4 linked regions of the Saccharomyces cerevisiae S288C genome follow. The protein of the gene in region 1 interacts with the protein of each later gene in a biochemical or structural test. Each region holds a gene or a part of one and is shown in the gene's direction. Other genes may lie near its edges. The genes, in order: SGO1, RTS1, NFI1 and SIZ1.

Region 1 (7,294 bases):
TTAGACCAGAACCCCCATGTTTGATTTGCAGACTTGATAGGTTGCAAATCAGGGTTCCTCAGAAAATTCACGGCAGTCCTATTTTTGGCAGGAATTTCTAAATATCTCAAAAACTTAGAGACTATACTACTGAAGCTCATGATGATACAGGTGCTGAAGTCCTTTTTTTGATAGTTATAATGGGGATATCAGTACAATAAAGAATAATATAAATTCTGCAATAGGAAATAATATAGGTAATTGTTCTTGATAATTCTGGAGTTTATAAGATTTTAACTCTATTTATGAGAATAGAGAAGGAAAATTAAAACTACAATAGCGAATGCAAATTTTTTTCCCCGAAGAACAAATAGCGGTAGCAACACATGCTGACGAAAGTTGTGTTCCTCTTTTTTTGGAGCAGGTCTGACTCAACTAAAAAGCTAGCTGCATGCAACCACGCTACATTGGCACACTATATCCTGACGCCCGCGCTATACTCTGACGCCTGCGCTATATATTCTGACGTCTACTCCATAACTATTATAGTAGTGGCCACTGTTGTTCGTAACCCGGCGCGGTGTTCGCTCCGAGCACGAAAATTCTGTCGTTTATTCTCTTCCTTCTTCCAGTTCCATTACTTAAAGGAGCTGTTTTATTTCATTCGAAAGCCCGATGACAAATTCTCCTCTTTCATATAAATTAATAAGGCGGTCAGCAGGAAACTCCTATTGCCAACCGTCTTGCGAACCGACCGGTCGCTGCGCGCGATCATGCGTCCACGCGCTTCTGTGGCGACGGACGACTACAGCAAGACATTACTCTGGTCATTTACGCCTGGCGCCCAGAATGTACAAGCGCAGACGGCCAGATCATATGATGAAACGGAATAGTCCCAGCTATACCGGTGATCACAAGACGTAGTTACATAGATGCCTTGGCGCCGACACGATATTTCTTGTCGTTCTGTGCCAGTAATTCCTTTTCTTCTCGACTATGCCTCTAAGACGTCAGTCTTGGAAGCATAGTCTTCGTAAAAAAATTTTTTTTTTGAGGTTTTTGCTTCCATTTCTTTAGACTGAACTAATTTATTTTTTTTATTATTATTCAGTAATTTTTATATATTTATTTATGGACTTATTGAGGTGCTTTGGGGGTGATGACGTCCCCAGTGAGGCCCCCAGGGTAGTGGACCGCACCTAACTTCCCATTCATGATGTGATTACGCATTTTAATCTTGTCTATATGTTCTACAATGATGGCGTCAGTGCCAATGCCGTTCGCATCTATGAGGGAGATGAACTCGCTCTCGGCCGTTGGGTTTGAGGCGGTGCCGTAGTGTCCGCCTTCATTCCGGCTTCGCGGTGTCTACGAGGCATTCATTTTATGTCGCGGCAACTACTTGATATTTTCCACCAGGCACAAGGAGAAACATGGAGAAATTATATATAGAGAACTATGAGTCCTGAGGCGGCCGTTCAGTAGCTCAGATTGCCAGGGTTAAAAATTGCTCCTTGGCATCCTATGTGCTGCATACTAAAAAATTTTTAGCCACGTAGTTGTATACTTTTGTTTCCGGGGATGAGAAATTAGCCCCAGGTCCCAGACTTACAACAAGGTAGATAGGGGGGCGCACCTTGTCGTCATGAGACCCATTTCGTAGAAACTTGAATTTGTTGTTGTTACTTCTGTTTTCAAGTAGGAGTAACGAGGCCGCGTACAATTTGCCAGTGGATTTGTCGCCTGCAGCAGCGGCCGCGACGCGACGGGTTGATCCAATTTTGTGCTTGCTTCTTCAACTGAATATTTTGAGTCCACTGCATGTGGAAAACAGAGTTTTCAGTCAGTCTTGTATGTATATTATTCTCTTTAGCTCCAGAATTTCTGCTGTGCTTAGTAACTTCTTGCCGTTGAGCTGATTTTAGTAGTATAATTTTTTTGCAACTCTACTGATATCAAGAGCAGTGATATGTGCTTTAATGTTGGCATTTCTTTCAAGCCAATCACCTTCTACCATTGGTCACGGTCTCAGTATATTTGTCGTAAATATTAGTACTCTAGTCTGGTCAGAGAAGTGGCCTTTCTCCCACCAAAACGTTGTTGTTCTGTCTTTTTTCTTATTATTTACTATTTATTGGATTTATCAAAAATTCCTCAGGAACAAGATTTAATATTCTTGAAAATCCTGTATGTCATAAATCATGAGCTTGGAAATTGACACGAAATATCGGATGGCACTACTTGATGATCGTTTTTATCACTACCGCTGTACTTTAATTTCATAATTTATTTGGTGACATTTCTCTTGAAGATCTGGCAAGATGTACACGGGGAGCTCCTTCAACTGTTAAAAATATTTTTAAAAGTAAAGACGTCACCATACTTTTTCACCATAAGAACAATTACTGGTCCAGATTAAGAACGGTTGGAGTAAGAGCCAATTATCATTCATTGACTGGTATTTCCTTTTGAACTATATTATCATATAATAGGTAAGAAGATGGCAAAAAGGAAGGAGAAACAGTGGTCTGATGTGATAGGGAAGTAAATGTCAACAAATACCTAACAGTACTATCTGATCGAACAAAGAAATTCCACCAAACTGTCAGTAAATTTATTTAATGAGCAGCAAGGACATAGTGCACAACTAGCACTCTACTTCGATTGGGTTATTGAGGAAGAGGATAGTATGCCCGGAATTTTCAAGCATTTACATGATTATGGTTTCATTGGGGTGCAAGAAGACCCAGCATGATTAGATTGCTATGTACTCATTATATAATATATCTCCGATGAATATATTTCCGAAAGTTTACTGAAGGCGACCTTGGATAAACCATAGTTTTACGGCAAATACACCATATCACTATTTTCTTTCTATATAGCTTTGCTAAGGCTTTTTTTAGTGACCGAGACAAAGAAGAAAATTTTCCATAAATGAAAGACCATTGTTTATTCCGAATCAAGTTTTCCGAAGAATTGTTGTATTACACAGTCCAGAGACAGCAGAATCTTTCAGAAATTTTAATACTGTTGTGACAGCATCTTGTCTATTATTTATTGGATACGCAAAACTCATTTTTTTAAAATTTTTTTTATAATTTCCTTTAAATAAAAAGGTTAAAGCTGGGAAAAATGCATCTAAATAATAAACTAATGATTTAGTTTCCCTCATTTAAAATATCTAAGAAGGACAGAACTTTGTTTGGGGTACTTACCCTTGAGTATTTTTAGCGATTATTCTTGGAGTTCTCAGCCAGAAGATTAAAAGAATATATGTTACTGAATGCAGTGTGATACTCAAGACTAAGTAGTCTTAACAACAAGTTAACAAGGGCGTGTGGTCTAGTGGTATGATTCTCGCTTTGGGCGACTTCCTGACTAACAGGAAGACAAAGCATGCGAGAGGCCCTGGGTTCAATTCCCAGCTCGCCCCTTTTATTTTTGATTATTTATTTCCTATTGGTCGGGTAACAGATTTTTTTTATTTTTTTCAAGGCCCTTTTGTTTTGTAAACAAAGAAATTTCACAAAGTGAGCGTCTACTAATATTGATAATGCCATTTCCACATTACAACTACTGCTAGGCGCAGGGTTATATTACTTACACACGCATATATATGTTTAATTGGGTATAGAGGGGTTATTGTTTGACCATGCCGAAGAGAAAAATTGCTCCTAACAAGGAAAGCAGCAGGCGTACGGTCTCCCACGATGATTTAACCCCACAAATACAAGAATTTCAAAACCTAATGGATCTCGAATCGCAAAAAGTGGAAAACATCAGACAGTCGTATTCGAGGCAAAACTCCCTGCTGGCCAAGGATAACTCCATATTAAAAATTAAAGTTAATAGCTTGGAAAAAAAAATAAGCCAGCTGGTACAAGAAAACGTGACTCTACGATCTAAAACCTCTATAAGCGAAGCTATCTACAGGGAACGGTTAAGTAATCAACTACAAGTCATTGAAAACGGTATTATTCAAAGATTTGACGAAATTTTTTATATGTTTGAGAACGTACGTAAAAACGAAAATTTGCCCAGTTCGAGCTTAAGAACAATGTTGAAGAGAACGAGTTCCAGGTCAAGATCATGCTCATTGTCATCACCCACATACTCAAAAAGTTACACTAGGTTATCAAATCACGAGAATAACCTGTCGCATGAATCAAGTTTTAACAAGGACGATGGTCCAGATCTTGAGCCTAAGGCTAAAAAAAGGAAGAGTTCTAGGCGGCAATCTATGTTTGTATCCACGAGTTTAGAACCTGAAGACGAAACCGGTGAAAACGAACCCATGATGGAAAATTCCTCTGTAGAGGTACCGGCAGAATCACACGAGTCTGCGCAAGTGGAGGAAACAATAGATGCCTTAAACCCTGAAGAGGAAAATAGCGATTCTGTCAGTAATTTTACCAATTCAATTATAGAATACTCCATACCAGAGGAGAATCCGACAGAACCCGAGCATTCATCTTCTAAACTAGAAATATTCAATGACAGTACAAATATGCTAAGTACAGTGCCGTCAAATCCTTTGCCGTTGCCTTTACCAGGCCCATCCGCAACTTTACCTACTACCACTAGCGATGCTTCAACGGTCTATCCTTCATCAAGTTCTTCTACTAATTCTCATCCAAAGACCAAAATTAAGCATTCCATGAAGCCGCCTAGGATAGAACTGAAGAAAAAGGTTATTGACGAAGTCATGCCCGTAAGTAACATGAGCAGCAACAGCGAAATATCATTTACGAGAACTAGAAGAACTCGTGGTAAAGCTGTAGATTACACTTTGCCTTCTTTAAGAGCCAAAATGAGGAGGCCTTCAGAAAAACTTGTGGATGCTACTACTGTGATTGATATACATGATCTACAGGTTTCCAAGAGAAATCGGGAAACTTCACATAAAAGGAAAAGTTTATCCCAAGATTCAATACCCGACGAACCGCAATTGAGAGAAGTCGTCGTCTCAAAGGATTATGGAACTCCAAAAGGGAAAAAAACGGAAGATGAAATACACGAGGATACCGCTCATCTAATGACCACTTCCAACAACAACAGCAACAACAAAAACGAAAAAAAACTAACTAGCAACAATAGCCCTAAAAAATCGTCGCCTTTACTTGACATTACAAATAAATCGGAGAATAAGAAAAAGTCAACAAGAACTAAAAAATTGTTCAAAAATGCAATTGTCAATAATTTATCTGATGAAAATTCTACTACGCGACCCTCCAAGTCGTCAAAGGGAACCAGTAATAATAACAACAATTACAACAATTTCGACAATAACAATTCAAACATTAATAATGTTAATAATAAATCTGTTAGCTTTAGACTAAATGAAGATGATTTAGCAGTATTTGATTTATTTGGAAATGGTAAGGCAGTGAAACATCAACCAAAAACATATCGCACCAAAAAATGATATATAGTCTTTTTGCCCTGGTGTTCCTTAATAATTTCTATATTTTTGCATAATAAACCATTGTATTATATACATTCGATTTTGTGTGTATATACGTAAGTACATGATTTTGTTTCTCCTCGTGCTGTCAATTATACACTCATTTTCATTTGAATTCTTGGATGAGGATTATAATCTTCAATTTCAAAGTCTGTCAACTTGAAATCATCAATGTCTTTAACGTCCCTTTTAATCTTTAGTTTCGGGAATGGTCTTGGATTTCTGGTGATTTGTTCTTTCAAGGCATCAATGTGGTCTTTATAAACATGTGCATCCCCCAAAGTATGAATGAACTCACCTGGCTCCATGTCGACAACTTTAGCAATCATTCTAGTCAACAAAGCATATGATGCAATGTTAAATGGTACTCCCAACCCCATATCACAAGAACGTTGGTACAATAAGCATGAAAGGCGGGGCTTACCGGATCCTTCTCCTTCTTTGGGGAAACTGACATAGAACTGTGAAAAAATATGGCATGGCGGCAAAGCCATTTTGTCAAAATCAGCTGGGTTCCAGGCACTCATAATGATTCTTCTATCGTAGGGATTTGTCTTTAGTTTATGTATAACCTGTTTCAATTGATCAATACCTTGTCCAGTATAGTCGTCATCGCACGTCTTGTATTTAGCACCAAAATGCCTCCATTGAAATCCGTAAACGGGCCCCAGATCTCCTACTTTCCTATCTTTGAACCCCATCTTATCTAAATATTCACGAGATCCATTACCGTCCCAAATCTTAACACCTTGCTCAGACAATAGGTTAGCGTCTGTATCACCGGCCAAAAACCACAATAGTTCAAGTATGATACCTCTAGTAAAAACCTTCTTGGTCGTTAGTAGTGGGAAGGTATCATCACGTAAACTAAAACGCAGCTGGGGTGGTGCAAAAAGACTCAACGTACCAGTGCCTGTTCTATCTGGCCTAAATTCACCTTCATCAATGATTCTTTTGCATAGATCAAGATATTGCTCTTCTTCTTTGTTTTTTCCGTCCATAGTCATCCTGTACCGTTCTGTTATGAAGCTCTCTCCTTGATACTTTATTGTTTGATATACACAGTCACTTACAAGTTTAGAAAATACAATTACAGCTATGCTATAGTAAATATTTCAGGAAACGCGTCAATTAAGGTCTTTTTCATTTTTTCTATTTAACGCGTCACCAAATATTAAGTTTGAGAAAGAAGGTCAAAAAAGCAACACCTCTTCCAACCTGTTCAATGCGGTCCTACGTTGAGGACACAAAGCTAATCTCTTTGAGGTAGCTGCAGTATAATGACGGGACCTTTGCATATTTTATTGGCCTTTTCCAATGAAACTAATTTTTTAATTGAATCTCAATCCCGTCCTTTACAGACGAGAGGGGAAAGAAGCTTGTTCGCATGATCCATCCTGGAATATGGATACATGTCATGTAATGATAAATCATTCCTACCTTTGCTGGTATCTTTCTGAAAAGGGCACATTTAATTAAGAACTGCCAACAAGGAAAGATCTCCGTTACCCTACCCAACTTGTGAGCTCAGATGAATGAGAATAACTAGAATACATACACATACGTCTAGTATCATTTCCCCCGGTGCTGGGAAATCACCCGTAAAAGCAGTGAAGAGCTTATTAACTCATGATGTCTGATTTAACACCAATATTCCGTAAGTATGTTGCTGTTATCGATGATGCTAGAAATGAGCAAAATGGTATAGATGATCATGTTGAAAGGAAACAAGAGGACTTCGGGAATTCTAATGAAACGTGTGAAATGTTTAGGGATTCGTTTATTAAGGAATGTGCAAGACTATTGAAGTTCCTAGTCGAATTAAACAAGGTAATAAAACAGATTGAA
Region 2 (7,885 bases), 110 kb from region 1:
TAGATCCGAGGTTCGGCGCTTCCACCAATTAATATGATCCATATTTTATATAATATATAGGATAAGTAACATCCCATGAAAAGCTGATAATCCGTTCTGACAACTGGTTACTTCCATTGACTGTTTATATTGGGATTTTCAAGACACCCCGGTATTACTCGTACCCGTAAAACAACATACACTTCGTCATGACTGAGAAGAATATAGGAGTAAAAAGAATACCTGAACTAACAGATATAATCAGCATCATGTTTTTTAAGCGAGAATACAGAAATATTCAAATTAAGATAGGCAACAAGGATTAGTTTAAATCTGAAAATCTTTTAAGATTAGGTACCTAATTTAGCTATATTGCTTTATGATTAGTTATAACGTCATTGGAGGAACAAACTATTGGAATAAGAATCGACTATAATCTACCGGCGAGTATTCATAAGCTATTATATTGTGGTAGACGGAGTAGAAAGATAAAAAAGGATTGAAAACAGTCATCTGATTTAATGGAAGCTGAAATGCAAGATTTAATAATGTAATAGGATAATGAATGACAACATAAAAAATAGAAGAAATAATAATAGTAACATTATGTGGAAATATGGGTTTCCTTGGCAGGTTCCTATATCCTTGAGAAAGAGCTTCTAATATATTTTGTATATTTAGTATTATAACTAAGCTGTTAGAAAATAAAATACCGCTAAATCAATTGAGGCGGTATTAAATACCTGTACATTTGAATATTTGGAATGAGAAAGAAATATAGTTACATAATGTACAAAAAAGAAGCAAGAAAGGAATATATATATATATATATATATATATATATATGTATATTGTTATTTAGAATATCTCTCTCTCTTCGAGAATCTCTATATCCTCGAAAAGAACTTTTAGCATATTCACGATAGGTCGTATTATCAATTAAATCAATTACGAAGTTCGGAAGTTATTGCCTACATAATATGATGTCCTGTTCATAAAAATAGAGCCCTAAGAAGTGTTATTAAATTTAACCAGCCTACAAATTAAATATAAAATGAGTGTTATTGTTCCACCGACTTGAATAATTGTACAACTTTAGCTAACATTTTAACTAATATTTTAACGCATCTTATTATCAAGTATTGTAACAATACGTATCATCTTACTATCTCAATGGAAGCATTCTCTTATACATACTGAGTCAAATATCTTGAAGACTCATTATAATGTGTAATAAAAGGACAAAGCAGCGTAGAAGCCTTAAATAACTATGCACTTGGACACATGTCTTCTCACGACGTGTTCAAATATAATGATTTTTCAATCAGCTTTGAAGTTCAATACAAACTTCTTCACTAAAGGATAATAAGCAATCATTATTAATGGCAAAATCGGTTTTCAATTTCTTTCATTTTGAAATATTGGAGTATTTAAACCGTTTTGTGTATCATTCACAATACTTTCTTCCATACTACTGCTCTCTTGAAGTTCTTGGGAAGAGCCGAAAAAATTGGACATTTCAATATTGGTGCTTATACATTACTACTGACAAGAAGATAATAAAAAAGAAAGATTTCTATCACCGATAGTGAGCTCTTTAGAAAACTGAACGCAATAAATTTTATGCCTCATAACGTCTTGGGGCGCGAGAATTTACTGACGTAAACAGATCCGGCTCAAAAAGTCGTCTTTACCTTTCTATCATCTCGTCGCATAATTATTAAATTAACTCACAATTTCTCACAATTTATATCATGCCTTTTTTGTCAGTTCGTGGCCTTGCCAGTGGAGATATAACAACTACTTCGTAAAGGGTCCCGAAAGAAATGAAAGAATTACTCATTTGATATAAAAATTTGCATGGTATAACAGAAGTGAAACGCGGGGACAACCATGATCTTTTTTGAGTAGGATAATTTTTTATGTCGGTTTGATATATTATAAAGCAAGTCATATATAATATCATACTGATTTTAACCAAACGATAATCAATCAGAAAAAGAAAATAAATAAAAAATCTAGCACATAGTATTTCAGTACCCTTATGGTTCTGACCTCAGAAATTATTCAGCCGCTTGTTATCTTATAGTACGTTTTATATCGTAATTTTCCTGACATTTTGGGCAGAAATCCTTTACTCCTGATATAATAAACGACGTTTTTTTTCCTGTGTTTTTTATGTTACTATAAGAAATGCAAAAAAAGAAACAATAGAAAAAGGCAGTGACAAAAATACTAATCAGAACGTTGAAAACAAATCAATAGTTTTGATAATGGTAGCATCATCGATCAATGAAGAATCCTCTTTGGCGGTAAACTTGACAAGCGATGTAGAGAAGGCTTCGAAAACTTTGTTTAAGGCATTCGAAAAGTCATACGCAAATGACTACTTGATGAAAAAGTTCTTCCATATCCCAATCACTGAAAAAGTTTCAAGGGCAAGAATAAATGCAATGATACATTACTACACGACGTGCTACCATGACTTGGATGGTGAAATTGCTGAGGCAAATGATTTCGATGCAGTCGCAATATGGAGCCGCCCTGGGTGCCACTTGCCTGCTACACTATCTGACGACGAGTCTTTCAATAAGATTTTTTTTTCACGACTTGACTGTGAGGAAGCACGAAGTCATGCCTCTGGGAATGGACTATTACTACCTTTATGCCATCGGAAAAGATCCTAGCCATCCCGAAATTAGAGGTTCAGTCAGAAAAATACTCGAAAAATATAAAACCAAAGCAGACAAGGCCAATTGCGCCCTTGCTCTCGAGGCTATTTCGGAGCACGCAAGATCTGTGTACGAATATTTCGGTTTCAAAACCTATTTGGTGTTTCAGTTCGGGGTTGGAGAAGTGAACTCCAAAGGAGAACCCGATCCGCAGGGGAAGGGATTCACGGCCTACTTGATGCTCTACCACAAAGATGCAGACACCATCTTTCACGCCTGATTTTCTTCTAAAAATTTTATAGACATTTATTGTATGTATGGAGCATATAGCAACAATAAAACTTAGACCAACATTTTTTGCCGGGTCACAACCCCCTATCCCGGCTGCGAGAAAGGAAAAAAAAAAGTATCAGACAATTGATTATCAAAGAGTATGTGAAACTACGCTTTGTTTTCCACTTCAATTGGTAGGCATGTCAATACGTCTCGTTTCTTCATTGGAAAACTCTTCATTTCAAGGATAAACCATCGTCGCCGTAAGTATTTTGGGTTTCATTTCCTTCCCCCCTCGATTTTGCTTTTTTTTCCTTTTTTTGTTAGATAAAAATATAAACCCTTCTCCATATACCTGTTCACCTCAATACCGTCTTTAACTGGCTTTTTTATTTTGTATAAAAGTTCTACTTATTAAGATCAATAGGCACGTGCTATTTTCGAACATCCACTTTCAATATGATGCGTGGTTTCAAGCAAAGATTAATAAAGAAGACCACCGGGTCTTCTTCTTCTTCAAGCAGTAAAAAGAAGGACAAAGAGAAGGAAAAAGAAAAAAGTTCCACTACCTCATCCACATCAAAGAAGCCCGCTTCGGCTAGTAGCTCTTCCCACGGGACTACTCACAGTTCTGCCAGCAGTACCGGATCAAAGTCTACAACTGAGAAGGGCAAGCAATCTGGTAGTGTTCCCTCGCAAGGGAAGCATCATAGTAGCTCTACATCAAAAACAAAAACAGCGACGACCCCTTCTTCCAGCAGCAGTAGCAGTAGAAGTTCAAGTGTCAGTCGCTCCGGTTCAAGCTCCACAAAGAAAACAAGTTCAAGAAAAGGACAAGAACAGTCCAAACAATCGCAACAGCCATCACAATCTCAAAAGCAAGGATCTTCTTCATCATCTGCCGCTATAATGAACCCCACTCCAGTACTCACTGTTACTAAGGACGACAAAAGCACTTCTGGTGAAGATCATGCACATCCTACTTTGCTGGGGGCAGTATCCGCTGTTCCATCATCTCCCATTTCAAATGCTTCAGGTACAGCAGTTTCTTCTGATGTAGAAAATGGTAATAGTAATAATAACAATATGAATATTAATACTAGTAATACTCAGGATGCAAACCACGCCTCCTCACAAAGTATCGACATTCCGAGATCATCACACTCATTTGAGAGACTACCAACACCCACAAAACTTAACCCTGACACAGATTTAGAGTTAATTAAGACTCCCCAACGTCATTCTTCATCTAGATTCGAGCCATCTAGATATACGCCATTAACGAAATTGCCAAATTTTAATGAAGTTTCTCCTGAAGAAAGAATCCCTTTGTTCATTGCCAAAGTTGACCAGTGTAACACTATGTTTGACTTTAATGATCCAAGTTTTGACATTCAAGGTAAAGAGATTAAAAGAAGCACCTTAGATGAGCTAATAGAATTCCTTGTAACAAATAGGTTCACTTACACGAATGAGATGTACGCTCATGTGGTGAACATGTTCAAAATCAATCTGTTTAGACCTATTCCACCACCAGTAAATCCAGTTGGTGACATTTATGACCCAGATGAAGATGAACCTGTTAACGAACTAGCCTGGCCTCATATGCAAGCTGTTTACGAATTCTTTTTAAGGTTTGTGGAAAGTCCTGATTTCAATCATCAGATTGCTAAACAATATATTGATCAGGACTTTATTTTAAAGTTACTGGAATTATTTGATAGCGAAGATATCAGAGAAAGAGACTGTTTGAAAACGACACTGCATAGAATATATGGGAAGTTCTTATCATTAAGAAGCTTTATTCGTCGGTCGATGAATAATATTTTTTTGCAATTTATTTATGAGACTGAGAAGTTTAACGGTGTGGCAGAATTGTTAGAAATTTTGGGTTCCATAATTAATGGATTTGCACTTCCATTAAAGGAAGAGCACAAGGTTTTCTTGGTGAGGATATTGATACCATTACACAAGGTCCGTTGTTTATCATTATACCACCCTCAGTTGGCTTACTGTATCGTTCAATTTCTCGAAAAAGATCCTTTATTAACCGAAGAGGTAGTTATGGGCTTACTGCGTTATTGGCCAAAAATAAATTCCACAAAAGAGATAATGTTTCTAAATGAAATCGAGGATATTTTTGAAGTGATCGAACCGCTGGAATTTATTAAAGTAGAAGTTCCGTTATTTGTTCAATTAGCTAAGTGTATTTCTTCTCCACATTTCCAAGTGGCGGAAAAGGTTTTAAGTTATTGGAATAATGAATATTTCTTAAACTTATGTATCGAAAATGCCGAAGTCATCCTACCCATTATATTTCCTGCATTATATGAATTAACTTCTCAGTTAGAGCTAGATACAGCAAATGGCGAAGATAGCATTTCAGACCCTTACATGCTTGTTGAGCAAGCAATCAATTCTGGTTCGTGGAATAGGGCAATTCATGCTATGGCATTCAAGGCATTGAAAATTTTTCTGGAAACAAACCCAGTATTGTACGAAAACTGTAATGCATTGTACTTATCAAGTGTAAAAGAAACTCAACAGCGTAAGGTGCAACGTGAAGAAAATTGGAGCAAACTTGAAGAATATGTAAAAAATCTAAGGATTAACAATGATAAGGACCAATACACAATCAAAAACCCAGAATTAAGAAACAGTTTCAACACAGCAAGTGAGAATAACACATTAAATGAAGAGAACGAAAATGATTGTGACAGCGAGATACAGTGAAACAGCAATTCATTACAAGCTCGAAGAAGTGAGGAAGTTTAGGGCATGCCACATTTCAAAAGAGCAGCAGTATATGAAGAGCAAAAAAGAACTGGTAAATGGGGTCAACTTGTTGAAGAAACCAAAGATAGAATCCCCGAATATTCGAACAAAACTATAGCAAAGATAAGCCACTTGGACAATGGTTGTTTGTGGCCTGAGATAAAGGTCTCTTTTTCTCATCATTTGAGCATACTTCAATCGATGTGTCTTCATTTTATTATTTCTATACTTTTCTCCAAATATATCTTCGTTTTTCTTTTCGCTTTCCTTCTTCCTTCTGCCTTTCCTCTATTTATTTTGCACTCCACTCTTTTCCGTAAACCTTGCCTATCTATTATTGGATTTTTGAAAACTAAAGTATAAAGGTATGTCATAAATAATTAAATAACAAAAAAAATAGGATCATGATACAAAAAAGTGCCTTCCCCTTAGCACAGCTGATCCAACAATTTTAAGAGCTTGAAAAGCAACCTATACGTAGTTTTTTTGGCGACTGGTAAAAAAGAACTGAATAATTAATGCCTGCACTATACTGATACCAACCATTACCCCCATAATTAGTAATGAGAGCCATGTTAATCTTGACTCAGTAGAACTCACAGTATACATGTTTCTCCATTCTCTAGCCCTTAAATAATCCATTGTTTTGGTGATCTTATTCAGGTTCCTATCAATTTCCTCGATGGCGTTGTTTGCGATTATGTCCTCTTTGCTTTCATGGGAAGAAACAATTTCCTTTTCCTTTTCGAGGGTGATTTCAACTTTCTTTGGGGAAGTGCCGTAGTTATTACTCAAACAGAAAGTGTACTTACCTATACCAAACGACTTCAGTAGAAAATCAGAATGCTTCTTTTGTCTTTCAGTGACGATAACAGAGCCATCAGGGGCGGTAATATCGAAGTCTATCTCGAAATTCCCACCTGTCAAAACTTGGTAACTGACCACAAGGACATCTTTATCAGAGGATAAATCATAGTAAAGACATTCTTTGGTAAAAGCAGGTAATGATATGCCTACAGGAGCATAATTAGAGGAGAATGCATGTGTTAACAAAGATGAACTAAACAAAATCGCAATCAAAGTAAAAACGCGCATAATTCCTAGCGATGATTGGGAATATATATTTATGAAAAAACTTCACTAGCGCTCGTGAAACTACTTCAAAGGCAGCTGGGAAATAAATGTCTTCAAAGCAGAGAAGAGTTCCCAAATAGAATTCTCAGATCGTCAATCGCTCATCTTTGAGTATATCACGTCAAAAAACAGGAAACAGTGAAAAAAAAGTAGTCCATAATAAAGCGCGTTTCCGTCAATGCCGTTGGTTAATAAAGAAACAAATATGTAAAAATATAATATAAACAGGGCACTTGAGAGAGCACAAAAAAGAGCCAAACGCTACCTGATACTTTTATAGTTTTGATAATGGGGTTCTACAACTGTAGATTCCTGTCCAGACGTCTATCTGTTGAGCCTTGCAGAATAGGTAGCGCCGCTAAAAGCTATCAACAGCGATCGATTTATCACTTTGGCGCTGCTCTCACAAATGCCCCTAGTGGAAGAGAAACACCAGACAAGCTACGTTCTGACCTGCATAGTGCTTTAGAGATGGTCGATGAAATATATGACACAAATTCGACTGTAGAGGACATTGGAAACAAGGAAAAGGGAGGTCGACAAAAATATACGGAAGAAATGGACAAGGCGATTAATCTACTGAAAACAAATATAAAGAAGGAGTATAGACATGATAAGTATTTGGAGCGGACAAAGGTAGGAACGTATCCTGGTAGAAGAACATATCCTGGTAGGAGAACATATCCCGCTAGGAGAACATATCCCGCTAGCAGAACATATTCAGATAGCAATTCATACACTTTTCGGATAAATGTCCAGAAGATTAGGCACGCATTAGTACGTTACAATCAAGATGGTGTTCAAAAACACAACCAAAAGCCTCCTAGGATTGGTCATGGATTAACGAGAGTGTTATACCAACCGTTGTCGCTACAAAAATTGAGAGATAATAGGAGCAGAATGTATAATTTTGACCCTGCAGTGGAAAATATTAATCCAGAGTATTTGGAAAAGAAAAGTGAAAAAGATGTGAACACAGACTCCTCTGGAGAAGGACAAAGCAAGCCAATATTCATCACACCCCACAAAGATGAATCTCTGTTAAAGGTTGC
Region 3 (7,680 bases), 160 kb from region 1:
TTCAGAATGGACCTTGTTGTGGGGAAAACCCCACTTTTAAAACCATACTTGGCCGCACCTTTCCCCATACTTCAATTATCCTTGTTATTATTGTTGTTGACAATCAGCAATGAAACTATTACCTAAATAATCCATATGTAGATTCTCTTCTTTATTCTACTCCTCTTGGGAATCACTTTCCTACTCGGCGACTTCAGGGTTCTACTTGCACTTCCGTTGCTAGTGATTTTTCATTAGGGCCAATATTTTTACCCTCATTACAAACCCTTTATTGTAAAAGCGGGTAAATTAGGGCCATGTTTCGTATTTTATAACCCGGCCGAGTGGCAAAATACCAAAAAGAAAGATGAAAAGGATAAACTAATAATTCAGCAGAAGGGTGATCAGTTGAGGTGGAGAGTTTGTATAGTAAAGCGTTAAATTTTTTCAGGAATACTCCCCCCACATAAACCTGATTGTAGAAAATAGAATTGAGTGAGCATGGCAGGTTTATCGTTCGACAATTATCAAAGAAATAATTTCTTAGCGGAAAACTCGCACACACAACCTAAGGCAACTTCCACGGGTACCACCATTGTAGGCGTAAAATTCAATAACGGAGTGGTGATTGCAGCAGATACAAGATCAACACAAGGTCCAATTGTCGCAGATAAGAATTGCGCAAAATTGCATAGAATTTCCCCCAAAATATGGTGTGCTGGTGCCGGTACCGCCGCCGATACTGAGGCAGTTACGCAGTTGATCGGGTCTAACATTGAATTACATTCCTTATATACCTCGAGAGAACCAAGAGTGGTCTCAGCTTTACAAATGCTAAAGCAGCACCTATTTAAGTACCAAGGTCATATTGGTGCTTATTTGATTGTTGCAGGTGTAGACCCTACGGGATCTCATTTGTTCTCCATTCATGCGCATGGTTCTACTGACGTGGGCTACTACCTTTCTCTAGGATCTGGTTCTCTAGCGGCAATGGCTGTGTTGGAATCACACTGGAAGCAAGACCTTACGAAGGAGGAAGCCATAAAGTTGGCCTCTGATGCAATCCAGGCTGGTATCTGGAATGATTTGGGGTCTGGTTCTAATGTGGATGTGTGTGTCATGGAAATAGGTAAAGATGCAGAATACTTGAGGAATTACTTGACTCCAAATGTTAGAGAAGAAAAGCAGAAAAGCTACAAATTCCCCAGGGGTACAACTGCTGTGCTGAAGGAGAGTATTGTCAATATTTGTGACATACAAGAAGAACAAGTCGATATAACGGCTTGAAAGTAAAACATAGAACTTAAGTATATTTTAGTATAGTAAATCATTGTTCAACAAAATGTGATAAAGGAAGTCAAAAACTAACCGCAAAACTATTTACATAATATATTTTCTTATAGCAGAGCTTATTATTTGTTCTTGATTCTTTTTCTTTTTTCTTTTTTTTATGCTTTGAAGTGTGTTAGTTGATTTTTGTTCGTTAATTTTCGTGTTAATTTATCCATCCATTTTAGCTATTTTATCACACAGAGCATAATATAACAAACACAGCTCAGTACCACACATATAACATAACACTAAAATTAACATTTCTATAGTCATCCGTTTGTTGGTCTTTAAAGGGCTATTACTGAGGCAAATATCAAGGAACTAAGAATACCACAAACGATACACTGATAATCAAGAAACGTATAAGGGAAAAGAGCACGATGGCAAGTGTCATGTCAAATAATAATAATAATAATAATAATAATAATGCCAGTTATATGTTTACGAACCCTTTGTCCAACACAGGTGGTGGACTCATAAATGAAATAAAAGATGCAATAAATGAAATGGAACAATTAAAGGTTCTAGAGTTAAAGCAAATATGCAAATCTCTGGATTTATCCATAACGGGCAAAAAGGCTGTCTTACAAGACCGAATAAAACAATTCTTAAGAAAATCCTGTGATATTGGACATATAGATCCGTGGAGGCCTAAGGCTATTAAGATTCTTATCGCGAAAGTAAGGATAAACTCATCATTACCAAAATACTCTACCCTTTGGGAAACTTTAAAGACGGGTGCGTTCAAGCATCCTGTAGCATCGGGGCAACTACCCGTGACAGCTCTCCAGAGTACTGCATTGCCACCTTATTCCCAACAACAGGCCTTAGCATATTCTTTTACCTCACCGTTTTACAAACCAATAGTACAAATACCGGATGCCAATAAAAAATTGAAGCAATCTGCAGGAAGAGGTTGTACAAAAATGAAGTTCAAGGTAAGTAAATCTAATCATGATCTTTTGAAATCTAACAAGAGTTATAAACTGTATTTGTTTTCTGGCTTTTCAATACCGTTTATATATGAAACTGTGGGCCATGAGGCAATAGATTTCCCGTATCCCTGTGAACTAGTGTTTAATGGCACCAAACTAGAGGACAACGTGAAAGGTTTAAAGAAACAAAATGGGACAGGTAATCCTGCAAATTTAACGCCTTATCTTAAAGTACCGACCGAGATGAATCACCTAGACTTACATTATCTCAATATTGATAAAGAGTACTCTATAAGTTGCTTTATAGTGGAAGTTTTTTCACCTGAAGCTCTTCTGGGGAAAATTCTGAAAAGGCCCAAAATTATCAAGCAAGCCACCACAGCATACATCAAAAGAACCTTGAATGAGCAAGATGATGACGATATTATTACAACCTCCACGGTGCTGAGTTTGCAATGTCCTATATCTTGTACAAGGATGAAGTATCCGGCGAAGACTGACCAATGTAAGCATATCCAATGTTTTGATGCTCTCTGGTTTCTTCACTCTCAGTCACAAGTCCCTACATGGCAGTGTCCGATTTGTCAACACCCTATAAAATTCGACCAGTTGAAGATTTCCGAATTTGTAGATAATATTATTCAAAATTGCAATGAAGATGTTGAGCAAGTTGAGATATCTGTTGATGGCTCATGGAAACCGATTCATAATAGTTCGGCCGTTATAACGGATACTGTTAACCAAAATCACAGTGTGAAAAACGAGAACCAAGGCACTGTCAAACAAGAGCAAGATTATGACAGCCGAAATGCCTTCGATACTAATTTGCGTAATGGTTCAAACCACAACGAACCCGAAATAATATCTCTGGATAGCTCAGATGATGAAGCCTTTATTCCGGCTAGTAAAAGCTTCCCAACGCACGTGAACCCCCGTAATGACCAATTAAGAGCAGATATATTTCCCTCAGAATCGGAAGGATCCAGTGACTACAACCCCAATCATACATCAACGCCGAAAGGTTCTCCAACTATGGACCAAGATAATTATCAAGATGCTTTTCAAATGAGGTCATTTTTGAACCAAGGCGCTACTACAAATATAAATGACACACCGACGAACAATAGCAGTATTAATTCTTTCGTTACGGCGACGAATGGTGACAGCAGAATATTCTACAATAGAGGGCCATCAACGCCACTATTACCGGCTGTTCTACAAAATTTGACTAATCAAACGGAAGCGCAGAGAAACCCCTACGGACCTAATTACAATACCACAGCTCAAGATCGTAATCTTTTGGGAATCGAAGGTGATTTGCCTCCAATCCCCCCTGTGGACCCAAATTCAGAAGCAGAAACTGAACTACCAACAAGGACCACATCGGCGGCACATCTCCCTCCATATATACACGTGAGCACCAGCGGCCATGGGGATGATGGAAAAATTAGGAAGAGAAGGCATTCTAATGTTTCTATCTACATTCCGAAGAATCCATACGCCACCCTTATGAAACGGAGACCACAGGCAAATCACGCCATAATGAATAAAACTCTGGCCCAAACTAATGACTTTAACACATCGGCTCAAGATAACTCGGAAGTGGTCGATTTAACATCAGATTGATTAACCGTCTTTTGATTTCTTTCCTTTCCGATTGTATTCTATTTTTATTTCTATTGTTTCATTTCGCTCTTAATATTGACTTCCACTTTTGGGCGTAAATGATGTTTTTGTTTTGATAAATATTACGACTTTTGTTATGTTTTTTTACTACTGTGGTTACTTCATGGGTGTAGTGTGCGAATCTGCAGTGATAGGTTTCTATAGATTTCTCTGTATACTTCCTGTATTACACTATAATATTTCATGTCCTTTCACTTCCCACGTTTAGCGGGACAGGCCGCCCTTAAATTAACAAAATTTAAAAGGTAAAGGAATGTACTAAGAAAAGAAAACTATTCAAAGAAAGTAACAAAAGATCGTGAGTTAACTTATAATAGCAATGTCCTCAAGATATAGAGTGGAATATCATTTGAAGAGCCACCGCAAGGATGAGTTTATAGATTGGGTAAAGGGGCTACTGGCCTCACCTTTTGTTCTACATGCCGTCTCTCATGAAGGTGACTACAATGACGACTTAGCAACAACTCAACGTGTAAGGTCGCAGTATGCTGATATCTTTAAAGACATTGAAGGGCTGATTAAAGATAAAATAGAATTTGACTCAAGAAACATGAGCCAAGACGAAATTGAAGATGGCGCCTCTTCTCAATCTCTGAATATATTAGGACAATCGCGTTTAAATCTTTTGGTTCCATCAATTGGAACATTCTTTACGGAACTTCCATTGGAACAAGCTTTTCTATGGGAAGACTCACAACGGGCCATTTCGGCGCGTAGAATGGTAGCACCCAGTTTTAATGATATCAGGCATATCCTGAATACTGCACAGATATTTCACTTTAAGAAACAGGAGAACTTACATAATGGTAAGGTTTTGAGATTAGTGACTTTTGATGGAGATGTGACGCTGTATGAAGATGGTGGCTCCCTGGTTTACACTAATCCTGTAATTCCTTATATTCTCAAGCTGTTGCGGTGCGGTATCAATGTGGGAATAGTCACTGCGGCCGGATATGATGAAGCTGGAACCTATGAGAACAGATTGAAAGGATTAATTGTTGCATTACATGATTCAACTGATATACCAGTTTCTCAAAAGCAGAATTTAACAATAATGGGTGGTGAGTCGAGTTACCTTTTCCGTTACTATGAAGACCCGGAGGAAGATAACTTTGGCTTTAGACAAATTGACAAAGAGGAATGGCTATTGCCTAGAATGAAGGCTTGGTCCCTCGAGGACGTGGAAAAGACTTTGGACTTTGCCGAGAGAACTCTTAACAGGTTAAGAAAAAGACTAAACCTACCTTCAGAGATTTCTATTATCCGTAAAGTCAGGGCAGTGGGTATCGTCCCAGGCGAACGGTACGATGAAGCTTCTAAAAGACAAGTTCCTGTTAAGCTTGATAGGGAACAACTGGAGGAAATAGTTTTAACCCTTCAAAACACTTTAGAGTCTTTTGCCCCATCTAGAAGAATTCAATTTAGTTGTTTTGATGGTGGTAGTGATGTCTGGTGTGATATTGGGGGGAAAGATCTTGGTGTTCGTTCATTGCAACAATTTTATAACCCTGAATCTCCTATCCAACCCTCTGAAACCTTACACGTAGGCGATCAGTTTGCACCGGTGGGATCAGCAAATGATTTTAAGGCAAGGCTAGCTGGATGTACCCTCTGGATAGCATCCCCTCAAGAAACAGTGAATTATCTTCATAGATTATTAGAAACTGATTAAAACAGTTTATGTAAAATGAAATTAGGACTATAAAAGTATATAGATATTTCCTATAGAAACACCTCATATATGGCGGTGGATTTTTTCATCTTGAATGAATTATGCTTAGAATTATGATTATGGGCCCTCTAGGATTCATCTGATTGCTTGTTGAACAATGTCTGCCTTTTCAATAGCGCCATTTTTGCTCTCTTCGAAATCTTCAAAGTAAAGCTCTCTCGTTATTAATAGATAGGATATCAACCCTACGAAGGCGAAAAATGACGCATAAACAATTCTTCTTTGAAAACTGACTTCTTTTTCCAATCTTTCCAAATGCAATAAATGACGGTTAGTAAATTTGTCATTCTCCAGTTTCTGTTCTTCTAATATACGTAAAGATTGATCTTTCAATTGATTGGCAAAGTTATTCAGCAGATCTAGATTACTCATCATTGTTTCGTTGAATATCGTGACAAGATGACTGAACTTTGCTTCGTGCGCCATTTCAAGTTGTTCAAACGATTTAGATAGCAGTTTGCTCTGTTCCTCAATGTAAGAAACTGTCAAACTAGAATTTGTCTCCAGTTGTGACAGCCTTTTCATGATGTTCTTAAAAATGGATTCTTCTGGAATTACAGGAACAGCCGAAGAAGAAGAAGAAGATATCATTTGCTTGGAAGGACAAAAGGATGCATTAAGCACCTTGAAAAATTCATCGAACTTCAAAGGGATGAGCTTTGAAGTACATGATAATGCACCAGCTAAGTCTGAGAGATTGCTTGTGTTTGGAGTCTCTAAACGCGTTTCTATATTGTTACATCTGTCTTGGATATTTTGTTCATTCAAATTGTTTATATTGTTAGTTCCTATGGATTGTTCTTTATCCTCTTGAGCCTTTAGTTGATCGATCTTAAACTCATCCATCATTGATTTACCATATACTTTGATTAAGGATATGGGACAATAAAATTCGTCCTCATAATGGGATAGAATTTCGATTTTCAAATAACTTGCCCAGATTTGGGGATTATGTATTTGAAACTTTTGTAGTTCTCTTGAATTTCTTGCCTCGAATTCTCCTAATATTGTCCATTCATTTTTAACCATCGGTATTCTATCAGAAACTGACACCCTAAATCTCTTGAAGGTCGAGGAAAAGAATTCGTAATTAGCAATTTCAATTTCCTCCACCAGGATATCTTCACAAAGCTCTATAACAATGAATTGCTGCGGAGCTGAACAGGGATTCAGTAAATACTTGTCTTTGCTCTCAATTAACGTAGAAGTCGCTCCAATCGCTTCTGGATTGCTTTTGACAATTGTTGCAGCGCAATCCAAGGATGCATAGTTGAATTTTTTTTTGTAAACTTTCTCTATGTCCTTTTCCTCATTGAATCCTTTTTGATTTTCTTCTCTTTCACTCCACTCGTTTTTGTTTGTCAAAAACCCCAAATCGATTTCCAACTCTTCTCCTATGCATTCTTTCTCTTTATAGCAAGAGGGATCGACTGGCTCCCTCACTCGACTAAGATGACGTTCAGGGCCTGATGAGTGCTCCTTCGACTTGACCTTCTTCCATTCGTCGAACGATAAAAATGAATTACTCGAATCGCCCGGATTCCTTGGTGTTGCAGGCTGTGTTAGTGCATCTTGCTCTTTCCTCTCACCGTTTTCCCGTATGTCAGCCTGCCGTATGTCAACTTTAGAGGCCTGTCTAAAATCATGGGTTCTTAAAGAACCGGTGGATAGTGGTGAGGAATGTTCTTTCTGCACGTTCGTTGTACTTCCAGTCGTGATCACAGTGGTATCATGTAGACCAATCTTCGCATTTTGAGCAGTTTTGTTCCTATCTAATGCAAAAGATCCGATTATACTTACCCACAAAATAAGGCCGTATATGAGAAGACGGTTCGCCATTCGGACAGATAATGATATAATATATCTTATATTTTAACTATATCCATTGCGTCCTTTCTTTTTAACCGTAAGGCACAGTTAAGAAATAATGTTTTCACACTAAATGCTGATGCCTATAAAAAAAAAGTACCGATGAGATAACCTAGGAATAAAATTCTCGGAATTCTTTCGGACATT
Region 4 (8,116 bases), on another chromosome or scaffold:
GTTGAATTCAGAAAGTTTCTGTACCGCATTATTAAACTCTTTTCGCGTCCAATGGCCAATTGGTATCACTAAGGTCCTAATCTTAGATGGGCCAACATAGCTTGGGAAATGCTTAAGAATATTCATGGTTTTTGTCTCCCTGTAACAGGTTGTGAGCCGCACCTTAAACCAGTTATACTAGAACCGTTTAAACTACAATCTGGCCTGATTTTAGTTTTGCAATAACACGATTAAGCGTTTACACATGCACATTCATATATAAGTATACGTATTTACACACATTTTATTCGAAACCTTTAAGATCGTTTTGTCACAATCCATGATCATGATTTACGACGCGAGATGTTTCGCGCCTCACTTTGAAGAATGCCAAATATAAAAGTATAAATATGGGAACTATTCTTATTTGTGAAGCTGCTGTAAAACCTTATATGTAGCTTCTACAATCGCGATGTGCTCAGCATCGTGTACCCTTTGCTCGTACTGCTCTAGTGTTTCTTCGCCAGGTATGATTTCTAGCTTTTTTACCACCAATGGCTCACCCTTGTCGACCTCCTCGATGACATAGTGCACCATGCATCCGGCCGTCAGAGGCTTGTTCTCGTCCTGACATTTGCGCCATGCCATTTCAATTGCGTGTGTGGTACCATCGAAACAACCTGGTAGCGCTGGATGCAGATTTAATATCGGCACAGATTGCAGTTGGCTCAAGAAAGTAGATCCAAGGATCAATAACCAGCCCGCGCAGATGATAACGTCAGGCTTTTCCTCGAGCACTAGTTTTGCGAGGTCGTTCTCAAACTGGGATCTTGCCTTGGCCCTTGCGGCTTTGTCCTCCTTCGCAATACCCTTTGTATATGGGTATAGCGAACAAACCTTTGTGGGGATATTATTGTCCGCTGCCCTAGTTAACCCGTATGCCTTCTTGCTGGAAGATATGACAGAGACAATATGAGCATCCTCGCCTAATTGGCCCTGCTTTTGGGCATCGATCAAGGCTTGCAAGTTGGAACCTGAGCCCGAAATTAATACGACAATTCTGGCCATAGCTTTTGGAAAGATTATTGATGTGTGTTGGCTCTCACCTGCGCTTGCTGCAAGTTAAATCATCAACCTTGAGGCTAGGAGCGTTATTCAACTTTAGAAGTGTCTTCTCTTCATAAACTACTCTATATAACTTTCCTCTTGCTGGAATAAAAAACAGGTCAGAGTCACTAGCAACGAGTCACTCATTCGAATCCTTGCTGACGCTTTTAGTCTTTATGCTGAAATCTATCTTCGAAGTCGGAAGGAAAATGCATTTTTAAACTATCACTAGAACTACCATTTTAGAGCGAGCAGAAGGTTCCTCTTTTCTTAAACAAGTATAATTTTCCTTTTTGGATTGTACTTTATATTCTTACACTAAACGGCCCCTAGATGTCACCTGAGCTGTAGTCAATGTATACACCCATTCACCGCACCAGATAGTAAGTTGAAAAGTGTATCATCTTTAATATGAATATGAAAGAATGAAGTGGAGTTCATCCATATTTCACAAGAAAAGAAGACTCCAACTCAAACAGTTGAGTGTTCCATATACATTCTGTTTCAATGATAAATTTAGAGGATTACTGGGAAGATGAAACGCCTGGGCCTGATAGGGAACCGACTAATGAACTAAGAAACGAGGTGGAGGAAACCATCACTCTGATGGAACTGCTGAAAGTGTCCGAATTGAAGGATATTTGCAGGTCTGTATCTTTCCCGGTTTCCGGTCGCAAGGCCGTTCTACAGGACCTTATCAGGAATTTCTTGCAGAACGCTTTAGTAGTAGGCAAGTCTGATCCTTATAGAGTTCAAGCCGTTAAATTTCTGATAGAACGGATCAGAAAGAATGAACCTTTGCCTGTTTATAAAGATCTTTGGAACGCTTTAAGAAAGGGTACCCCATTGAGTGCTATCACAGTACGTTCTATGGAGGGGCCTCCCACGGTGCAGCAGCAATCACCTTCCGTTATTAGGCAGTCTCCCACTCAACGGCGGAAAACGTCTACCACATCTTCCACATCTCGTGCACCACCACCTACAAATCCAGATGCCTCTTCTTCTTCATCATCTTTTGCTGTACCGACAATTCATTTTAAAGAGTCTCCATTTTACAAAATACAAAGGCTAATCCCTGAATTAGTGATGAACGTGGAAGTCACAGGCGGAAGAGGTATGTGCTCTGCGAAATTTAAATTGTCCAAAGCAGACTATAATCTATTAAGTAACCCGAATAGCAAACACAGGCTATACTTATTTTCTGGGATGATTAATCCATTAGGATCCCGAGGTAATGAACCCATCCAATTTCCATTCCCAAATGAATTAAGGTGCAATAATGTTCAAATCAAAGATAATATAAGAGGTTTCAAGAGTAAGCCGGGCACAGCTAAGCCGGCGGATTTAACGCCTCATCTCAAACCTTATACTCAACAAAACAATGTGGAGCTGATATATGCCTTCACCACGAAGGAATACAAGCTATTTGGGTACATTGTAGAAATGATCACTCCGGAGCAACTCCTGGAAAAAGTATTACAGCATCCAAAAATTATTAAACAAGCCACGTTACTTTACTTGAAAAAAACACTTCGGGAGGATGAAGAAATGGGCTTGACTACCACATCTACTATCATGAGTCTGCAATGTCCAATTTCGTACACAAGAATGAAATACCCTTCAAAATCAATAAATTGTAAGCATCTGCAATGTTTTGATGCATTATGGTTCCTACACTCCCAACTACAAATTCCTACGTGGCAATGCCCAGTATGTCAAATTGATATAGCTTTGGAAAATTTAGCAATTTCCGAATTTGTTGATGACATTTTACAGAACTGTCAAAAAAACGTTGAACAGGTAGAACTTACTTCTGATGGTAAGTGGACAGCCATATTGGAAGACGATGATGACAGCGACAGTGACAGCAATGATGGTAGTAGAAGCCCAGAAAAAGGTACTTCAGTATCGGATCATCATTGTTCTTCTTCACATCCAAGTGAACCGATTATCATAAATCTCGATAGTGATGATGACGAACCAAATGGAAATAATCCTCATGTTACTAATAATCATGATGATAGCAACAGGCATAGTAATGATAACAATAATAATAGTATCAAAAATAATGATAGTCATAATAAAAATAATAATAATAATAATAATAACAATAATAATAATAATGATAATAATAATAGTATCGAAAATAATGATAGTAATAGTAATAATAAACATGATCATGGTAGTCGCAGTAATACTCCCAGTCATAATCATACTAAAAATTTAATGAACGATAATGATGACGATGATGATGATCGACTTATGGCGGAAATAACTAGCAATCACCTTAAAAGTACTAATACAGATATTCTAACTGAAAAAGGTTCAAGTGCACCCTCGAGAACCCTGGATCCAAAAAGTTATAACATAGTTGCTTCAGAAACTACTACTCCGGTGACAAACAGGGTTATTCCTGAGTACCTCGGAAACAGTTCCAGTTATATTGGTAAACAATTGCCGAACATTCTGGGAAAAACGCCTTTAAATGTGACTGCTGTTGATAATTCATCCCACTTAATCTCTCCAGATGTTAGCGTATCATCCCCAACGCCAAGAAACACCGCTTCAAATGCAAGTTCGAGCGCTCTCAGTACCCCTCCCTTAATAAGAATGAGTTCATTAGATCCCAGGGGATCCACTGTTCCCGATAAAACAATAAGGCCTCCCATAAATTCCAACAGTTATACTGCATCGATATCAGATTCATTTGTCCAGCCTCAAGAATCTTCAGTTTTTCCACCACGTGAACAGAATATGGATATGTCCTTTCCTTCCACCGTGAACTCAAGATTTAATGATCCACGTTTGAATACCACAAGATTCCCTGATTCAACATTGCGTGGGGCAACTATTTTGTCGAATAATGGGCTTGATCAAAGGAATAACTCTCTACCAACAACAGAAGCAATCACGAGGAATGACGTCGGGCGACAAAATTCTACGCCTGTACTTCCCACGTTGCCCCAGAACGTCCCAATTCGTACAAACTCTAACAAGTCTGGGCTTCCTTTGATAAACAATGAAAACAGTGTCCCCAATCCTCCCAACACTGCAACCATACCGTTGCAGAAGTCCAGACTCATTGTAAATCCATTCATTCCAAGGAGGCCTTACTCTAATGTACTGCCCCAAAAAAGACAACTTTCTAATACATCCTCAACTTCACCCATAATGGGTACATGGAAAACGCAAGATTATGGAAAGAAATACAACAGTGGTTAAAAACGAGGCTAAAATTGGACGGTTCCGTCCAGCTCTTTCATGAAATATTTTCTTTGTAATTGTGCATATGACCTTCATTTTCTATAATTTTCCGTTCGAAAAAGAAATATTTTCTTCTTTTCAATACTCAAAGGCAATATCACTGTTTGCATTCCCCTAGCATTTATTACCTACCAAATACAGATGCACAAGATTAGATAAAATCTTACATAACACAAAAATCCAGTCCATAACTAACACAATCATTACTATTATATAAAAGGTATTCCGACACCAACCTTATTCTTGTATTCTATGTATTCCGCGCTAAAGAACTCTATCAAATATTTTTCTTCCACACGAATTCTATCACTGAAAAATTTCCAAAGTACAAAAATGAAAATAACCAATGATAGGGGATTTAGAAGCAGTAGCTGAGTGCCAATTGCCCACCAAAAGAACCCAAGATAACTTGGATGTCTTGACCAGGAGTAAACGCCAGTTTTCACTAAAACATGATCGGACTCCTTCTTGGTCTTCACAATATGAGAAAAGGAATGTCCCGCAGTATGCATAGCAATAGTTCTGGTATATTGTCCCAGAATAACTAGAAGACATCCAAGTACTGTACAAAGCTTGGTAGCTAGAGAGTAGCTAAAAATTTTCAGATCAGGAAAAAGAAAGCTTTCTACGAGGCATTCCAGAATAGCAAAGGAATGTGCCGCCATGTAACTTTTGCCGTTGTTCAGAAGAAAGGACTCTGAATGTACCTTAAGAGGATTGTATTTAGCTGTAATATAATACTCCAAAAAATGGAATAAGGACAGGGCAATAATAAAGAGGTTAAAATTCTTGAATCTAATTTGTGGAAAAAGACCAACAAATATACCTAAAAGAATCCCCAGTATGTAGGAAGTCATGGTCACCTCATGCAGCGGATTGCGTCTGATGTCTGGATACTCATGCTCGTCTTCTTGAAAATCTTGGTGCATGTTGTGTTCAAAAACGGTGACCACAATGAAAGAGGAGGTAAAAAGAGTAATTATCTTGAAATCGATTTTCACTTTCTTATATAATTCATCAACACGAGAACCTTTCTATATACTGGTGGTATCATGTAAAGAATTGTTTTACCATAGTGGCCCATTTGTCAATTCGTCTTGAGTGATGTTTCATTATCAATCGGTTGCTATGCCAACGAAAATACTATGTCAGACTCTCTTGATGTATATAATGAATGGCAAAGTACATAGAAATAGATAAAAGTTGTTATTGTGAGTCGGAGGGGCTGTTTGTTTGTCCTACTCGTTGGCCGCGGCCTTGAAATTGGTTCAAATTCGATGGGCCACTTCTTAATTGACTTCCAGAAGCTCTGCCTGAATCTGTGCCACTGGTTTGAGACAATGTTGCAGGGGCCGTACCCAATCGTTGACCTCTTCCACTAAAAGTTCTCGTTTCTCTTTGCGAAGATGGCACATTGGCAAAGTTGTTGTTGAATGTTGCAGTTTCATTGTGGGCACCCGTTATGCGAGCATATAGACTAGTAAACCACCATGGCGTTGAGAATTTCCCATTGGGCGAGATTCCGTAGGTTGGATCAGCTTTTCTGGATATCATCCCCCATATTGGCCCCAGTGTATGGGTATCTAAGCATGTATAAAGGTACCCTGTAGTAAAACCGATCAATGAGATTACGAAATCACCCTCATTAAAAACGAAAGAGATAAACAATTGAATTAAGGGGAAGTACTTCCCCCAAACAGGAATCAAACCATAAAACATGATCTGCACGTTGGCATTGTCGATCGACCAAGTATATGTAATGCATGATATGAACCCAGAGGTGAGCACAACAGGGTAGTAGGACCCATAAATGATTGTAGTGGCCGTAGTGATGGCTAGTATACAAAAGCACAGGTAGTAGGCATAGTCTACTGTTACCATCGGTCCTCGTCTATTGGACAAACCGGGACCAAAATGCCCTCGCTCCAACTGTGAGGACCTGTCATAAATACTATATAGTTCCATTAGCGCAGGCATGGCACGAGACGAAAGCATTACACAAGAAGTAAGAAGTCTCCATATCTGAACCTTCTTGAACGTCAAATTCCAAACATAAATAAAGTACCACGGATTGATTAGATTCAACCGGCCGACGATCGTCATAACGATCGCTAGAGTAAATAAAGTTCTTGTTATTGGGGGGATATTTAACCAGAATTCTTTTGGGCCCATCACATCATTATTACGGCCTCCATTTCCATGTAATGTACGCACATTCCTTGGGCCTGCCATTATTTCCTCGAAAATAGTTTTTGATTTGACTTGGAAATGCGGAATTCACTGGTAATTTGTTGTATTTTGCCTTATATCCTTTGTTTGATACTCTTGTCTTATATTGAAGAGGACACGATTTCATGAGCCGCGAACGGGTAAGTAGGGACTTTTCACATTTGAAATTTTTCAAATGTGATGAGGATCGATTCTGCAAAGCAGCAGATAATAGCAGATAAAAAATAGAGAGTTGCAATATTCAAGTTCCTGGTAGCTGCTCGAATCAAGAGGGGTGAATTAAAGGTTTTCGATTTTTGCTATGGCTGTTCACACCAATAGGCAAATCCTTACAAGAGGCAAAAACTATGCTACAAAGCAATCAAAGAAATTCGGTACCGATGAGGTGACGTTCGACAAGGATTCTCGTTTGGATTATCTGACTGGCTTTCACAAGAGAAAGCTTCAAAGACAAAAGAAAGCACAAGAGTTTATTAAGGAGCAGGAAAGGCTTAGAAAAATTGAAGAAAGACAGAAGATTCGGCAGGAACGTAAGGAGGTGATGGAAGAACAGTTAAAGACGTTTAAAGAGAGTTTAAACTTGGAAGCTGAGATAGAGGATGCGAAAAATGATAAGACGGAGGATTTGCAGGTAGAATCTGATGAATCCTGGCACGGGTTTGATTCTGATAAAGATGACGGCGATAACGACAATAATGAAAGTAGCGTAAAGCCTATTTTGAAGAAAGGAGCAATCACGGAAATATACGATGACTCAACTACTGTTGAATTGGAGACATTGGAACCCAATGATAACTTTGAATATTTAGCCCAGCTAAATAATGTCAAATTAGAAAAGGCAGAAAAAGTACTCAAACAAAGCATAAATAGAGCCACCAAATACGCGAAGTTTCTGGGCGTGGATGAGAAACAAAAGAAGAAGCCAAGAGTAAAAAAGTTCAGATATTTGACCAAAAATGAACGAAGAATAAACCAAAGAAAGGCAAACGACAACAAGCGTAGGAGATAATGCAGTCGCATTATCGTCGGGCACCGCCTGGGGTTTCTTGACGCTCAAACAGTGTTTGATTTTTTTTTGGAAAAGTATATACTGTGCATATGTATTTTTCGTTTATTATATGTAATATATCGAATAAACCATTCTACGGGGAAAATAGAACAAATATTTACAGCATTTGCATGATTTTATATGGCTTGCCCAACAAATTATTTGCTTGCAAACTTAATATAATACTCTGCGTCCAATTTGAAAACGACCCATATGCCTCTTCTAATTACTTCGAAATACTGCATTTCGCCTTGGAAAAAAATGTAGTCGCTATCTGCGGCAACTAATTTCAGATTCTGCGATAAATATACCCATAGCCACCAGAACCTCAGCAAAAAGTCAACGAGAATCGCCGAATGATACATTTTTTTCTTTAATGTGACGGCACTTTTGGATCTGGATCTTAAAGAGGTTAACGAGTCCAATGACCAATCCATCCTTACATCCCAAAATAACGTATAGGAAGAATTAATTAGCATAAACCATCTT

The links.
Region 2: the proteins of SGO1 (region 1) and RTS1 form a complex in vitro, tested with the Saccharomyces cerevisiae proteins (2 studies listed by BioGRID).
Region 3: of the proteins of SGO1 (region 1) and NFI1, one has a biochemical effect on the other in vitro, tested with the Saccharomyces cerevisiae proteins (one study listed by BioGRID).
Region 4: of the proteins of SGO1 (region 1) and SIZ1, one has a biochemical effect on the other in vitro, tested with the Saccharomyces cerevisiae proteins (one study listed by BioGRID).

What each region holds. Positions count from the first base shown.
Region 1 is NC_001147.6:461,137-468,430, forward strand, and holds SGO1 (Sgo1p), read left to right. Parts: upstream 1-3,634; coding exon 3,635-5,407; downstream 5,408-7,294. Other genes in the region: NRT1 (nicotinamide riboside transporter), read right to left, coding at 1-140; YOR072W (uncharacterized protein), read left to right, coding at 366-680; YOR072W-B (uncharacterized protein), read left to right, coding at 3,333-3,494; CDC21 (thymidylate synthase), read right to left, coding at 5,539-6,453; UFE1 (Ufe1p), read left to right, coding at 7,076-7,294. UniProt on the Saccharomyces cerevisiae protein: Plays a central role in chromosome cohesion during mitosis and meiosis divisions by preventing premature dissociation of cohesin complex from centromeres after prophase, when most of cohesin complex dissociates from chromosomes arms.
Region 2 is NC_001147.6:354,291-362,175, forward strand, and holds RTS1 (protein phosphatase 2A regulatory subunit RTS1), read left to right. Parts: upstream 1-3,383; coding exon 3,384-5,657; downstream 5,658-7,885. Other genes in the region: YOR011W-A (uncharacterized protein), read left to right, coding at 1,362-1,568; YOR012W (uncharacterized protein), read left to right, coding at 2,253-2,666; YOR015W (uncharacterized protein), read left to right, coding at 5,703-6,062; ERP4 (Erp4p), read right to left, coding at 6,171-6,794; PET127 (Pet127p), read left to right, coding at 7,122-7,885. UniProt on the Saccharomyces cerevisiae protein: The B regulatory subunit might modulate substrate selectivity and catalytic activity, and might also direct the localization of the catalytic enzyme to a particular subcellular compartment. Multicopy suppressor of ROX3 and HSP60.
Region 3 is NC_001147.6:624,552-632,231, reverse strand, and holds NFI1 (SUMO ligase NFI1), read left to right. Parts: upstream 1-1,691; coding exon 1,692-3,872; downstream 3,873-7,680. Other genes in the region: mitochondrial 37S ribosomal protein mS26 PET123, read right to left, coding at 1-68; PUP1 (proteasome core particle subunit beta 2), read left to right, coding at 481-1,266; ISN1 (IMP 5'-nucleotidase), read left to right, coding at 4,252-5,604; SLP1 (Slp1p), read right to left, coding at 5,740-7,503. UniProt on the Saccharomyces cerevisiae protein: May act as an E3 ligase mediating SUMO/Smt3 attachment to septins. May be involved in chromosome maintenance.
Region 4 is NC_001136.10:1,287,813-1,295,928, forward strand, and holds SIZ1 (SUMO ligase SIZ1), read left to right. Parts: upstream 1-1,593; coding exon 1,594-4,308; downstream 4,309-8,116. Other genes in the region: TRAPPII-specific subunit TRS120, read right to left, coding at 1-126; ADE8 (phosphoribosylglycinamide formyltransferase), read right to left, coding at 403-1,047; STE14 (protein-S-isoprenylcysteine carboxyl O-methyltransferase), read right to left, coding at 4,560-5,279; DFM1 (Dfm1p), read right to left, coding at 5,557-6,582; rRNA-processing protein RRP17, read left to right, coding at 6,881-7,588; ERD1 (Erd1p), read right to left, coding at 7,786-8,116. UniProt on the Saccharomyces cerevisiae protein: Acts as an E3 ligase mediating SUMO/Smt3 attachment to septins and PCNA. May be involved in chromosome maintenance.